Mus musculus: one gene and its partners. The protein of the gene in region 3 purifies or fractionates together with the protein of the main gene of each other region. This does not show direct contact. Links are inferred from orthologs where the notes say so. Each region holds a gene or a part of one and is shown on either strand. Other genes may lie near its edges. The genes, in order: Erbb2, Erbb4 and Lrig1.

The links.
Region 1: the proteins of Lrig1 (region 3) and Erbb2 purify together in Homo sapiens (co-immunoprecipitation; 4 studies listed by BioGRID and IntAct, with this or other methods). This does not show direct contact. The link is inferred for Mus musculus from reciprocal best matches to the Homo sapiens genes LRIG1 and ERBB2.
Region 2: the proteins of Lrig1 (region 3) and Erbb4 purify together in Homo sapiens (affinity purification with western blotting; 3 studies listed by BioGRID and IntAct, with this or other methods). This does not show direct contact. The link is inferred for Mus musculus from reciprocal best matches to the Homo sapiens genes LRIG1 and ERBB4.

What each region holds. Positions count from the first base shown.
Region 1 is NC_000077.6:98,428,920-98,433,223, reverse strand, and holds part of Erbb2 (receptor tyrosine-protein kinase erbB-2 precursor), read right to left. Parts: coding exon 4,240-4,304; intron 1,508-4,239; coding exon 1,460-1,507; intron 314-1,459; coding exon 175-313; intron 94-174; coding exon 1-93. UniProt on the Homo sapiens protein: Protein tyrosine kinase that is part of several cell surface receptor complexes, but that apparently needs a coreceptor for ligand binding. Essential component of a neuregulin-receptor complex, although neuregulins do not interact with it alone.
Region 2 is NC_000067.6:69,105,276-69,109,679, forward strand, and holds the start of Erbb4 (receptor tyrosine-protein kinase erbB-4 precursor), read right to left. Parts: upstream 2,785-4,404; 5' UTR 2,482-2,784; coding exon 2,400-2,481; intron 1-2,399. UniProt on the Homo sapiens protein: Tyrosine-protein kinase that plays an essential role as cell surface receptor for neuregulins and EGF family members and regulates development of the heart, the central nervous system and the mammary gland, gene transcription, cell proliferation, differentiation, migration and apoptosis.
Region 3 is NC_000072.6:94,609,468-94,613,771, forward strand, and holds part of Lrig1 (leucine-rich repeats and immunoglobulin-like domains protein 1 isoform 1 precursor), read right to left. Parts: intron 4,261-4,304; coding exon 4,097-4,260; intron 2,226-4,096; coding exon 1,905-2,225; intron 432-1,904; coding exon 150-431; intron 1-149. UniProt on the Homo sapiens protein: Acts as a feedback negative regulator of signaling by receptor tyrosine kinases, through a mechanism that involves enhancement of receptor ubiquitination and accelerated intracellular degradation.

The DNA of each region.
Region 1 (4,304 bases), on a different chromosome or scaffold from region 3:
AAGCACCTTCAGCTTCCTTAGCTCTGTCTCCTTTAGGATCCGCATCTGAGCCTGGTTGGGCACAGCTCCACTGGGCGTCAGCGGCTCCACCAGCTGGAGCGAGAGGGTGGTAGGGTGAATGCCCAGCTAGCTGCAAAGCCAAGGGGGTGCTAGGAGGCCCTCGGCACGCCTCACCTCGGTCTCCTGCAGCAGCCTACGCATGGTATACTTCCGGATCTTCTGTCGCCTTCGTTTGATTAGGATTCCAATGACCACCACTATGATCAGGAACAACAGGACGCCCACCACAGTTGCAATGATGAATGTCACTGGGCTGGAAACAAGAGCCAGAATCAGAGACTGGGGACTAGTTTGAGGAGGAAGCTTGAAGAGAACCCATGAAAGGACAGGAATGTCCCTTGGCTCAAAAACTTCACAGGAGATAACCCACCTTGTTAATCTGCACTGTGCAGCCCACCCCAGGGGCTTCTGCCTCATATGAAATGGGGTCCAGTTATATGTACCCCAAAACTCTCAGGTACTAGCCAAAGCATTCTTCAAGGAGCCATGGTTTCCCCTGCCTTGCAGCAGTTGCACCTAAGTTCTCAGGACCCGTGTTTCTCCATGATATAATCGTCTATGATTCTGCTTATCTTGGGGCACACAGGGTCCCTGATAGTCACCAGACCATTATTTGTTGGTATACTTAGTCTTGAGGCTACCTCACGATATAGCCCAGACTGGCTCTGAACTTACAAGCCATGTGCCTCAGTCTCCTAAGTGCTGGGGTCACAAGGTGTCTGCCACCATGTCGAGGCAGAACACATTCTTGTCACCCTTGCTTCCTTAATCCCCATCTTGCTCTGCACAAGGCCTGTTGTTACAGCCAGCGTCCAGTGTTTGCCTCACAGGCAAGCAGCAGCTTCTTAGAGCACACCCTAGACTGCTTTTCTCCCTTCTAAAGCTCTCCTCTGGCAAACCAGAGTCCTGGGGCCCAGGGGTCAAGAACCCTACCCTGCCTTCCAGATCTAGACCTCACGGCCTCAGTTCACACCCTTTCTGCACTGGTGTGGTTCACAGCACACACCAGAGAGCTCTTAGCCACCCTAGACTTGCCTGACTCTCCACCGGAGTGCAAAGAAAACACAACACCGTCCCCCCTGCCCGCCCCCACCCCATCCTGGAAGCTTCTAGGTGCCCAGCTCGGATAATCTGAGGTTTCACAAGCTGCCACTGCACTCTGCAGTTCTAGAAGCTTGGACCTGGCCTGCATCCCTAGGGAACTACATTTCCCAGCATTCCTTACTCCAAAGCATCCTGAGCAGATCTGTATCCACTTGTTGAAACAAAAAATCAGTAAAGAAAGAATGGGCTAAGGAGAGAGACAATGTGCATTCTGGGTAATCTCTCTTCATTACTGACCACGGAGGCCAATGAAGGAGTCGGGAAGTAAGGGGGTACCTCTGGGGCTCAGGCCCACCTGGCTCTCTGCTCTGCTGGGCAGCCTCGTTCGTCCAGGTCCACACATCTGCAGAAGAGAGAGAGAGAGTGCCATCATCAAACCTGGGAACAGCCTCCTGGGGCAGGTGTGGCAGGATTGTTCCCATGTGACAAGCAGAACCGGGCTCCAGGTCTCCAAATTGCTCTGTACTTGTCCACAAGAAGAGTCCCTCTTCAGTCTGGGAATCCACCTCCCCTGCACTGTTGGGACTTCCTGCGCTGGGCAGGAAGCAGGGCACTATGACGGTGGGAAGATCAGCTAGTCCCTCCATGAAAGAGGCCTAGGGTATATGGTACATGTGAGGAGAATTTGGGAAGACCTATTAAACACACAGGGTGGCTGGGCCATAGCTTAGTGGGAAAAGGTCTACAAGGTCCTGGCACCGATCTCCACCAACCAAGCAATAAAATGTCAACAGTTCTGCCCCAACAGTTGGTACTACCATGCCAACACCAGGTCACAAGAAGGCATGCACACAGATGCCCCTTTGTGTGTGGAGCTGAACAACAACAACAAAAATCAGGCCTTACTAGAAGAGGAGGTGCCTAGTCTTACTGTAACTTGATATGCCATGGCTGATCAATATCCATGGGAGGCCTGCCCTTCTCTGAGGAGAAGGGGAAGAGGAATGGACTGGGGGTTGGGGGGACTGGGAGGAGGGAAGGGAGGAAGGAAAAACTGTAGTCAGGATGAAATAAATAAATAGGCAAGCAAGAGCGACGATATCCCTCAAATAGGGCCTGTACTGAGTGATGTGCTATGAAGGGGGACATCTGTAGAGGGTAGATGGAGAAACATTTGTAGGAAAAGATACAGAGAGTGGGTGAAAGGCAGAGCACAGAATATGAAGGAAAGTGTTGGATTATATCAGGAAATGAGGGCAAGCTGGGTGGTGATGGCCCACACCTTTAGTCCCAGCGCTCGGAGGCAGAGGTAAGTAGATTTCTGAGTTCAAGCTAGTTCCAGGACAGCCAGGGCACACAGAGAAACCCTGTCTGGACAGGAGAGGACAGAGGGAGAGGGAGGAGGAGGGGAGGGATGGGGAGAGGAGAGGACTGGAGAGATGGCTAGGAGGTGAGAGCACTGACTGCTATTCCAGAGGGCCCAGGTTTGATAATCCAGCACCCACATGTCAGCTCACACCCCTCCATAACTCGAGGTCCAGGGGGTCCGACTGCCTCTTCTGGCCTACACAAGGCACCAGACAGATCTTCATGCAGGCAAAACAATCCGCACTTTTAAGTCAGCTTGATGGAAGCTACTGCCATTTGGGAAGAGGGAACCTTAATTGAGACAATGTTTCCACCATTCTGGCCTGTGCAAGCCGGTATAAGCCTGTGCACATTTTCTTGATTGATGGTTGCTATGGGAAGGCACAGGTCCTGGTGGGCAGTGCCACTACTGAGCTAGTGGTCCAGTGTACTGCAAGAAGGTAGGCTGAGCAAGCCATGCCGTGCAAGCCAGTAAGCAGAGTCCGGTCGCATCCTCTGCATCAATTCCTGCCTCCAGATTTCTATCTTGAGTTCCTGCCTCAACTTCCCTGGATGGGACTATGATGTGGAGATATAAGTTAAATAAACCCTCCCCCGCCAAGTTACTGTTTATTGTGGTGTTTATCACAGCAGTAGAAACTCCATACACACACACACACACATACACACACACACACACACACACACACACACACACACACACACACACACACACACACCTAAAAGAAAGAAACGGCCACACGTTGGTAGTTGGCAAGATGACTCAGCAGGTAAGGGTACTTGCCACCACACCTGACAACTGCATTCAATCCCTGGAACCCATAGGGTGGAAGGGAAGAGCTGACTCTTTCAGATTGTCTTCTGACATCCACAAAGTCTCCAGCACTAGGGACTTGGGGAAACAACTCAAAGTACTCACAGTAGAACCGCCAACAGTATTATTTTATATCTTATGTGTAGTTTAAAATTTCTAATGCACTACTGTACAGATTTAGTTCGGTTACATTATTTATTTGTGTGTGTATGTATGTGTGTGTTTGTGCTTGGAACTTGGAAGGCATGCATGTGCCACAACAGGCATGTGGAGGTCAGAGGACAAGCTCTGGGAGTTGGTTCTCTCCTTCCATCATGTGGGTCCTGGGAACTTAGGTGAAATCACTAGGCTTATGAGCAAGTGCCTCTACTTACTGAGCTATGTGTTAATGTGTTATTTTTAACTTTATTTACATGAATGTGTGTGAGTGTGTGTGTGTGTGTGTGTGTTGTGTACACTTGCAGAGGCCAGAAAAAGACATCAGATCTCCTCAAGCTAGTTATCAGGCAATCAAGGGTCTCCTGTAGTGTGTGTTAGGAACCAAGTTCCAGCCTTCTGAAAGCAGCGAGTCCTCTTAACTACACAACCACCTCTCCAGACCCTAAGGTGTTATTTTTTTGTAATTAGAAAAGAGATAAAAATTACACCTCCGGCTGAAGAGATGGCTCAGTAGTTAAGAGCATTGACTGTTCTTCTAGAGGTCCTGAGTTCAATTCCCAGCAACCACATGGTGGCTCACGACCATCTGTAATGGAATCCGATACCCTCTTCTGGTGTGTCTGGCGAGAGCAACTGTGTACTCACATACATAAAATTAATAAATCTTTTTAAAAAAATTACACCTCAATATAAGTGAACGTAGACTTCTGCCCCTTTCACAACAAGAGCTCAAAAAAGGCTCCCCCCATGAAGGCCCTCCTTTCTACAGAAAAGACTCCACTCCCTCCACTCACGAGTGGGTGCAGTTGATGGGGCATGGCTGACATATGCCCTCCTCATCCGGGTACTTCCAGATAGG
Region 2 (4,404 bases), on a different chromosome or scaffold from region 3:
TGCACAGCCGCAAACAGAGCCTCACTCTCACCAGACAGCGACTTGTTTTGATAATAGCACTACATTAAAACCAGCTGAACTTTCTCTGTCAGGTGTGGTGGAGGCGCCTGGAAAAAAAGAAGAAGCCCTTGGGGGCACAGACAGTTTCCAATAGATCACCTAAGTATGCTTGTTGCAATTATACCGAGGATACACCCGAGAGCTTTTCTTTGTGCGGCCCTTTCATCTAGATCACTTTGTGTTTTGAACAAGTGAGGCTCTCTTTTGTGCCCCTAGAATTTCAAGTACAGAGTCACACACGAAACAACAATGGCACGCTAATCCTCCTGCTTCTAAATGGGCTCACTTGTGGGTCTGACAATTCGCCCAGGGAAAAGAGCAGAGGGAGCTGGGCGCAGGCTGGTGTCCTCTGAGACGCGGAAGGGGACAGCTGCAGAACTAATTTGGATTACATTCCTTGCCTAAATTCTGAAAAGGGCTTTTCGGCATAGCCCCAACCGGGAGCTGCAGAGTTAATACCAAATTGCTGTGGACTTGAAGCGGGGATCCCCCCAGCGGCCCGGGCCACGCCAGACAGCTCCCTGGTAGGGTGGCCTGATAGAAATTCCTCTCGGCTAAGCCTGCATGACAGTGGCAAGTGTTTTTGAATGGGTCAATGTGCATAATCAACCCATTGAGGGGAAAGGCAAAGGGCTCCGAGTCGGGGGCTAGAAAGGGATGTATCTAGGCGGCCGCCTGGAATCTCAAGTCCTTGCTGCTGCTCTGATTCCAGAGGTGGCTGGAGCGCAGGATCTGGTATGCAGGAAGAATTTCAGAGTCACTGGGAGTATGCAAACGGCCAGCACAAATGGCGCACATGTGCCATTCGAAGGTCATTTTGAACCGCTCAGAGATTGTAACTTGTTATTTACTAGGCGAGGAGGAAGAGGCGGGAGCGGGGGCGGAGCGGGAAAACTAGCAAGCTGCAGCTTTCTCGGTGAGGTCAGAAGGACACCCTCTAGGGACCTAAAGCTCTCCCTGTCGCCACTCCTGAATGTTTTATCTTCTCAAGCTGACGCCCACGTTCCCGCCACCAGCCCCGGAAGGTTCCGGAAATCTCTCTGCCTTCTCCAAAAGCCCTCTTCTCTCCCCTCTGGGCCAGGTCAGACACACAGATTCTCCTTAGTCCTTTCGCGTCCCCTCCTCTCATCCCCGGGGTAACTCCCAAGAGTCAAGAAACTTTGAGCTCCTCTACATCGCAGCTGCTGTCATTGGCTCTGGCGGCCCCAGCACGACAGCGACACTGTTTCTCTCGGGGTCAATTAGTCCTTTTTCTGTCCAAATACCTGGGGCTTGGGCGATCCAGCCAACAGTGGCAGCGCTCAGGACGCCGCCACCCGGCCCGCCTCGGGCTAAGTCAGTGAGCGCCACCCGCGAGCTCTGCAGCCCGGCAGGGCAGTAAACAGAAGTTTAGGCCAACCCCAAGTTGCACTACTGGAAGAACTCTTCCCAGAGCCAAGTCCAGCATGGGGAGGGAAGGCCGAGCTCTGGACTCAGTATGCCAGGCTCTTTTAGAGAGAGAGAGAGAGAGAGAGAGAGAGAGAGAGAGAGAGAGAGAGAGAGAGAGAGAGAGAGAGAGAGAGAGAGAGAGAGAGAGATCATGCTGGCTGAAGAGTCGCACGCCCAACACACACACACACACACACCCTCTTTCTCGCCCCAAGTCAATCTCAAGACAGCCTAGAGATGCCAACTAAGAAGGCCCAGAGTCCCTGGCCCCCGGCCGAGGCGCGCACCCGGTGCGCTCCAGCTGCCCGGATAGGGCTGGGCGTCCGGTGTGACCCCGCAGGCTACTGGAGACTCGGGCCAGGGACCCTGCGCCAGCATGCTCAGGTGCCAAGCCCGGCTCCCCGGCCGCGCTCCGCCGCAGCCCTGCACCCCGGGGAAGGCCAGCCAGGCTCAGCTCAGGAACCTCCTGGCAGCCCGAAGAGGTGCAGCGATTCTCCGGTTTGGTTTGATTCCCCCCCCCCCCCTTCCCAGCTCGAGAAGGAGGGAACCTCCACTGACGGGCTCAGGTCTCCCACGCCCCGAACAACGGGCGCCACCAGAAGCGATCCCGCTTAGGCTCCCAGAAAACGCGCGAGAAAGAAAGAAGGGGGCTAAAGAGAGGGCGAGAGGGGGGACAATAATATAGAGGGTGGCAGGAAAGCGAAGTCATTTGTAGCATCAATTAAAAACACACGCACGCACACACAAAGGTAAGTTTGGGATGGAGCTAGGGGCGACCCAAGGCAGAAGCCCGGTCCCTAGGGTCCCTGGAGCCTAAGGGTGACAGAGGGGCGAGGGAGAAGGGAAACACCGGAGGCAGTGGCGGGTTCAACAGCTGGAGCGCGACCGGGAACCGCGAGACCGCGACCCACCTGACTGAGAAGCGCTGGGCTGGACGGTCCCCGCTGCCATCAGAAGGCTCCCCCAGACCCAGAGTCCCGTCGCCAGCTTCATTTTTGGCAAGTCTCAGATCCCGCGCTGACAATTACATGTCCAAATACCATAGCCACTTGCGAGCACGCGGAGGAGATCTCCCCCCCTCAGCCGGGAGCGCGTGGGGGGCGCAAGGGGGGCGGGCGCGGCGCGCTTGGTGCACGGGCTTCCCGGGGCCGGAGAGCCAGTCGGCGACGGCGGCGGCTTCCAGGACCCGTGGACCCGCGGACCCGGCAAGGGGCCGCGGAGGAGGGCGCGCGGGTGGGAGTGAGCGCGACTGTGCGGCTGGTGCTCCGAGCACAACGTACAGCTAGTTCCCGGAGTGATCCTCCGCTCGCTCGTTCCCTCCTCACTTTCTCGCTCGCTCGCTCGCTCTCCTCACTGGTTGGTCAACAATAAAAAGAAAGAGGGAATAAAGGCTTCCAAAAAAAGTTGATTGCAAAGAGGCGGCGGGGTTCCGGCCTCTCCCCCCAAAACCGGGCTATGTTCAGCTCTCTCTTCAGTCTCCTTGCACCTCCTGTCCAAATCTGGAGGGAAAAGGAGGGGGTGTTGCTTCTTTGCTTCTCCCCGATCCTGTCCCCCTTTTTTTCCACTGTCAGCTTTCCTCACACTTGTCCAGCCATTGCAGTAATTAAAGCTCCGAACGTCATTTCCAACGCTCCGCGGTCTCCAGCCGCAGCCCCACAGAGAAATTAATAAGAGTCAGAAGAAAGATTTTTGAAAAAGAAAAGAAAAGAAAAGAAAGAAAAAAAAGAGGGGAGTGGGGGGTGGGAATCAAACAACCCTCCACACAACCAGCCAGGCTTTCCTCCGCTGCGCAAGCCCCGCCCCTGCTCTGACCCATGTAGCCACGCCCTCCCCCTAAGGAGAAATCTTATTGGCTCAGACACTCCCCAAAATCCTCTGCCTCTAGAGTTGGAAAAACACCTGTCAGACAGTGGGAGCAGCAGGGTCATGGTAGGAGCTTGGGGAAGCAGGATCTGAGAAGCTCAGTGGAGACCACTGTCTGAAACGCTCCCCTTGGGGCTGCCCCGGCAGAGGCCCTGGACAGCTGGCCCGCTGAGTAGTCAGTCCACCAGAAGGAATGCTTGCTGAACGAATTTTTTGACACAAGAACAGGGCATTTTCTTTATTGCTCCAAGGTGTCAGTCCATACACAGAACCTTCCCTAGAAATAGAAAGTCAACGTTGCTTTGGGAATAAAATATCTTTGTCCCTCGCCATCACCCAGAATATTCCATACTTAGCATACTTAGTACTTTAGAATGGATATTGTAGGTAGCTGGTAGCCTCGCAGGTAAGATGAAATCTTCCAATAGTTTTTTTTTTCCAAATAAGCCATCTCTCCCACCTTCCCAAGATGACATTGGGCCAAACTTAAAAATCCATATTTGTGAAACCACATTCTTTGATTCTGAAATTATGCAAACTCTCTCGTCTGTGCTGTTCGGTCTGAAGGTGTTTAGGAGGTGAGATCTTAGCTGACCTTCGAGCCGTTAGGGCCACGCCATAGCAGGGCCAGCTTGAGGCCCTGCACTTGCCCTCTTTGCAGGGTGTGTGCTTCCAAGGTCATCAACCGCTGTACGACTAAGTTTCTCTAAGTCTAAAATGCCCTGGAAGGGATTACTGTAGTCTGAGAGGCCACAGGTCTAAAACTGCTCTATGCTGGGGCCAGAACCTGTAGTGAGTCAGAGGATACTCCTTTGCTATGTGTACAGCTATTCTATGAAGGCATTTTCTATGCTTGCTCTCAAAGCAGTGACTAAATATATACAAAAAAAAAAAAAGCAAGGGTGCTTTAAAACCAAACCACCCTACTTCCTCGGTCACTATTGGAGTCCTTCCCCATCTCCCACATCTTCTGACTATGATCCCATCCCTTAAGAATTCCCAGGCAGCTGAAAACAGCAGTAGCAGAAGCCTGAAGCTTGAAGCCTTTCCTTG
Region 3 (4,304 bases):
AGCTGAAACTACTCGCTTAAAAGCAGCCCCAAAATTCAAATTAACTAGACAGAGTCTACCACAGGGACTCCAGAAAGCAGGTTCTCTAATACTTGAGTTGAATCCCCACCCGACCCTGCCACACGTGCGCGAGAGCTGTCGTAGCGAACCTAAGACTGTGAGGGTAGCGTTGGCTGAAACCGAGCCTGCCGAGTTCTGGGCAGTGCAGCTGTAGACCCCCATGTCGTCTATTTTCACATCAGTGATGAAGAACACATCATCGTCTGGCATAACATGCATGCGTCGCTCACGAGCTGCCGGGAAATCGGTGCCTCCATCCTTCTGCCAGGCAATCTGAGGGTTAGGGTGGCCCGTGGCAGCACACTCGAGGCGGGCTGTGGTGCCAGTCCGGATGGCAATGTCATGGGGTATTTTAGTGAATGATGGCAACACTGGAAAAAAATGATAGGTAAAGCTACTTGGAATGGCTGCATACAAAAGGAAACTCATAGTAAACAGATCCCACTGTGCCCAGGCCTCAGTTCATTGTTACTCCATCCCACCCAAGGGGTGCCCAGCCTCTCCCCGTCACAGACACAATACTGCACCCATTACCCTTAACGCCTTCCTATTGCTATAGCCTGGTGCTAAGCACTCTCGGAAGGCTTCTGATGGAGCGTTTTGCCTCCCGAAGCTCCACAGTAGTTACTATGTAGGGAATCCTCCAGAAGTAAAAGTCTGGTGCTGACCTGCTTTAGTTAGCTATCTGGAGAGAGCTGGGCAACAAAACATTTGCTATTAGGGGATAGCTGGATGCTGTCACCAGGAGGAACCAGTGAGCTGGCTCACCTCTCTTGAGGAAACCCACTCTGGGTGGGGTCTATGGGGGCTACACTACCAGCCACACCCAGGCAAAAATATGTAGTTCGTTCGCTTCTGTAGCTTTAGTATCAATGCTGCCACAGTGGACAGTATCCAGACTTGATGTCTGAGCTACTGTGGTGGAGAGTCTACAGCTACTTGGTCTCCAAGAAACACTCTGGCCTCTCTTAGGCCAGCCTCGCTGTGGTAGAGTGCTTTGTGGTGTTGTACAATAGCAGAGAGCATGGAGGCAGTGCTTCAGGCCACCCACAAGCCAGCTTAGCCTAGTGTGGAAGAGTTAGCTACTGATGCTGTCCTCATCCCTCAACATACCACATCCATCAGTAGTCCAGAAGAAAGCCACCCTGATGGCCAGGGGCTGGCTCCTGAGTAAGAGACCCTTGTCACAACTTCCCTGCACACTGGACCTCGGAGCCAGGGGCTCAACCCACACCTGCTCTCCACAGCCTGAAGAGTAGCGGCTCGGAACAATGGGTCACCCTGTGGATCATGAACCCCTTTGGCAAACCTCTATGTTCAAAAATATTTACACTGTGATTCATAACAGTTGCGAAGTTACAGTTATGAAATAGCAAAGAAAGTAGTTTTATGGTTGGGGGTCAGCACAGCATGAGGGACTATATTAAGGGGTCAAGCATTAGGAAGGTTAAGAACCATTGTTCTAGAGGAAGTGGGGCTTGTACTTGTCCCAAACGGCCTTGCTCCCAGTTATAACATCTACTCTAAGGTCACAAGCTTCCTTAGAACCTAGGGATGCTTGGAATCTAGAAACCGCATCTCTTGGCTTATGGAAGACAAGGAACATAAAAATACAAAGCTTAACTCCACAATGTCACTTAACATAACTGGACTTTAAAAATCTCCCACCCCAAACAAAAAACGATGGTTCAATCTGTTAAACTTGGTCTGGGACAAACCCAAGGACTGGTACAAAGAGATGCACCCCACGGCTCGTGTCTCTTCACACCAGTGTCAGAGAGGACAATCAGCAGTGTAGTCTGTGGGACTCTGTGCTTGAGAAGCACGAGATGCCATGTCCTTACCATTCACAGTGAGCCTGGCTTTGTGGGAGTATGTGGAGCCAAAGTGGTTTGTGATGATACACTGGTAGCGGCCCTCGTGCCCAAAGGTGACGTGACGGAGGTGCAGGATAGTGGTATACTCCATCACTTCGCCGTCCTGTGCACGGACGTGGGCAAAGTTCTCCATGTCTGCATTGGCCAGGACCTCATTGTCCTTCTTCCAGGCGAAGGTCATTGGTGAGCTGCTGCTGCTGGCTGCGGAGCATGTGAAACGGATGTCCTTGCCCACCACAGCCATGGTCGTCTCAGGCTGGGTGATGATCTGTGGCTTTGGAAAGTCATCTAGGGAGAGAACCAAGTGTAAGACCCCTGTTCTGTTCGGACACCAGCAAATGTTCAGGCTGACAAGGAACTGGTCACTTGCGAGTCAGTTCCACCAGACACGGCGGTCGCTGTGTATTCACAAATAGTTGTAATCACTGGCACAATCGATATTAAATGTTTTTATCATCTCTAACAGAGAAGGCTGTCCTGTTTAGCTCTCCCTTCTGTCTCCACTGCTCACCAGTGGGACTGGTGACATACATTTCTGACCTCTATGGGGTCCTTTATTCTAGACATTTCATGAGACTTCTTTCACTTGGCAGATCATTGTCAAAATTCACCCATGCTGTGAGACAGACAGACTGACCTAATGTCCCATGGCATAGCTACCTGCCTACTGTCTATGCATGGGTGTCTGGGTTGCTCCAGCTGGGGCTGTTATGAGAAACGCTCTTTGAGCACTTGGTCAGAGCTGCTCCCATCCGCTTGGATGGATCCCAGGGTGGGCCCAGGAGCCGATACTGTGCTGTCTACATAGCGAGGCTTCCTCCACAAAAGGACCTCCCCATCTCATCTGTTCTTGTCATCACCTAGCTTCATGCTGATTTCCTAGAATGTGTATGGTGGCCATTTCTGTTTCTTAGAAACAAGTGGGAGACAGGGAGCAGAGTTTGAACCTCTGATTTCCTACCAAGGATTCTCATGAACCGTGGGTGGGTAGTTCTGAGGGGATTGCTACAATGCCCAGTGTAGCATGGTCACCAACTAGGGATCAGGTTTTAGGGAAACAGAAGACTGCCCTCCACCAGACAGAGGGGGAAGCCAAAGACAACTTAACTTGAGAAAACCTAAACAAGTTAATGAGTGTGGAGTCAATTAGCACTGGCTGTAAAGTGCTGCCTGCTCTAATGTGACTAGGGTGCTGTCTGCACAACCCTGATTCTACCCAGGTAGCCAGTGCACCGAGAGTCAGCAAGCCTGCTTTGGGAATTAATGCAGTGGGAGGTAGAGGATGCTTGTCTTACCTCTAGCAGGCATAACTCACAGGGAAAAGGTCGGACAAGTGGCCCGGGACACCCAGGCTGCTAGATGGGTCATAACTAGCATCGTTCAGGAAGTGATCCTGTAGCTCCGTGAGGCCACAGGGAACCACTGACAGGAGGATCATGCATTCCCACTGCTGCTCAGAGCAACCCAGACAGACCTCAACGAGACCTCAACGGTCTTCTCGGTCTTGGATCCCATCTCCTTAGCTAGGAGGCTATGCTAGTCCTGCCAGAGCTAGCCTGTGGGTGTGTTTCAGCTGTTCCGTGTTCTCTGTGCTCTCTGTAACTAAACTTGGGTCCTGACTACCACTGGTCAAGAAGATGGTTAAATCTATGTTCCAGCAAAGTGGAGGAAAGAGACTCTCCCAGTGCACATTTCAGCGGGTTGGACAAGCAGCAAGAGTGCAAGTCAACATGGAGGAATTATTTTTACTGCAGTGGCTGCTCTCCTGAGACCTGCTCTTCCTGTGTTTAACCTCTCATTCTTAGAGCTGGAAAGAAACACACATTGAAACCCTATCCCCATGCACTCATTCACAGCCAAACCTGGGCCCAGGACCCTTCTGAAAAGATCAGAACTATCGCACTGTAACCAGTTATTTAGATTTGTAGCTAAACCTACCCCTTTTTAATTAAATATGTGTACTCCAAGAACCACAGAATGAGGCACTGTGCAGTAAATACATGTGGTTTCCGTGGGAAATAAATTGCACCCAGCAGCTGATCTGTAACCATGGACTACACTAACTAGGGTCACAGGAATCAGTCTTATGATGAGACGTTCTTCCTGGCCTCTCTGCCCTACATCAAAAACAAAACCAAAAACCTCAAGGATAATCTTACCACACACAAAGCTGTCTGGCAGCACTGAGAAAATGCTCTGGCCCTTCAGCGACTCTGGATGGGCACAGGTGGCTGTCACAAAGGCCTGCAGCATCCTACCCATTAGCCATGGGGGCAGCCACTTGAGCTGGCAGTCACACAGGAAGCTCTCACTGCTGATGTAGCTGAAAGAGAAACAAGAGGTGAATATTTAACAGACCATAAGGAA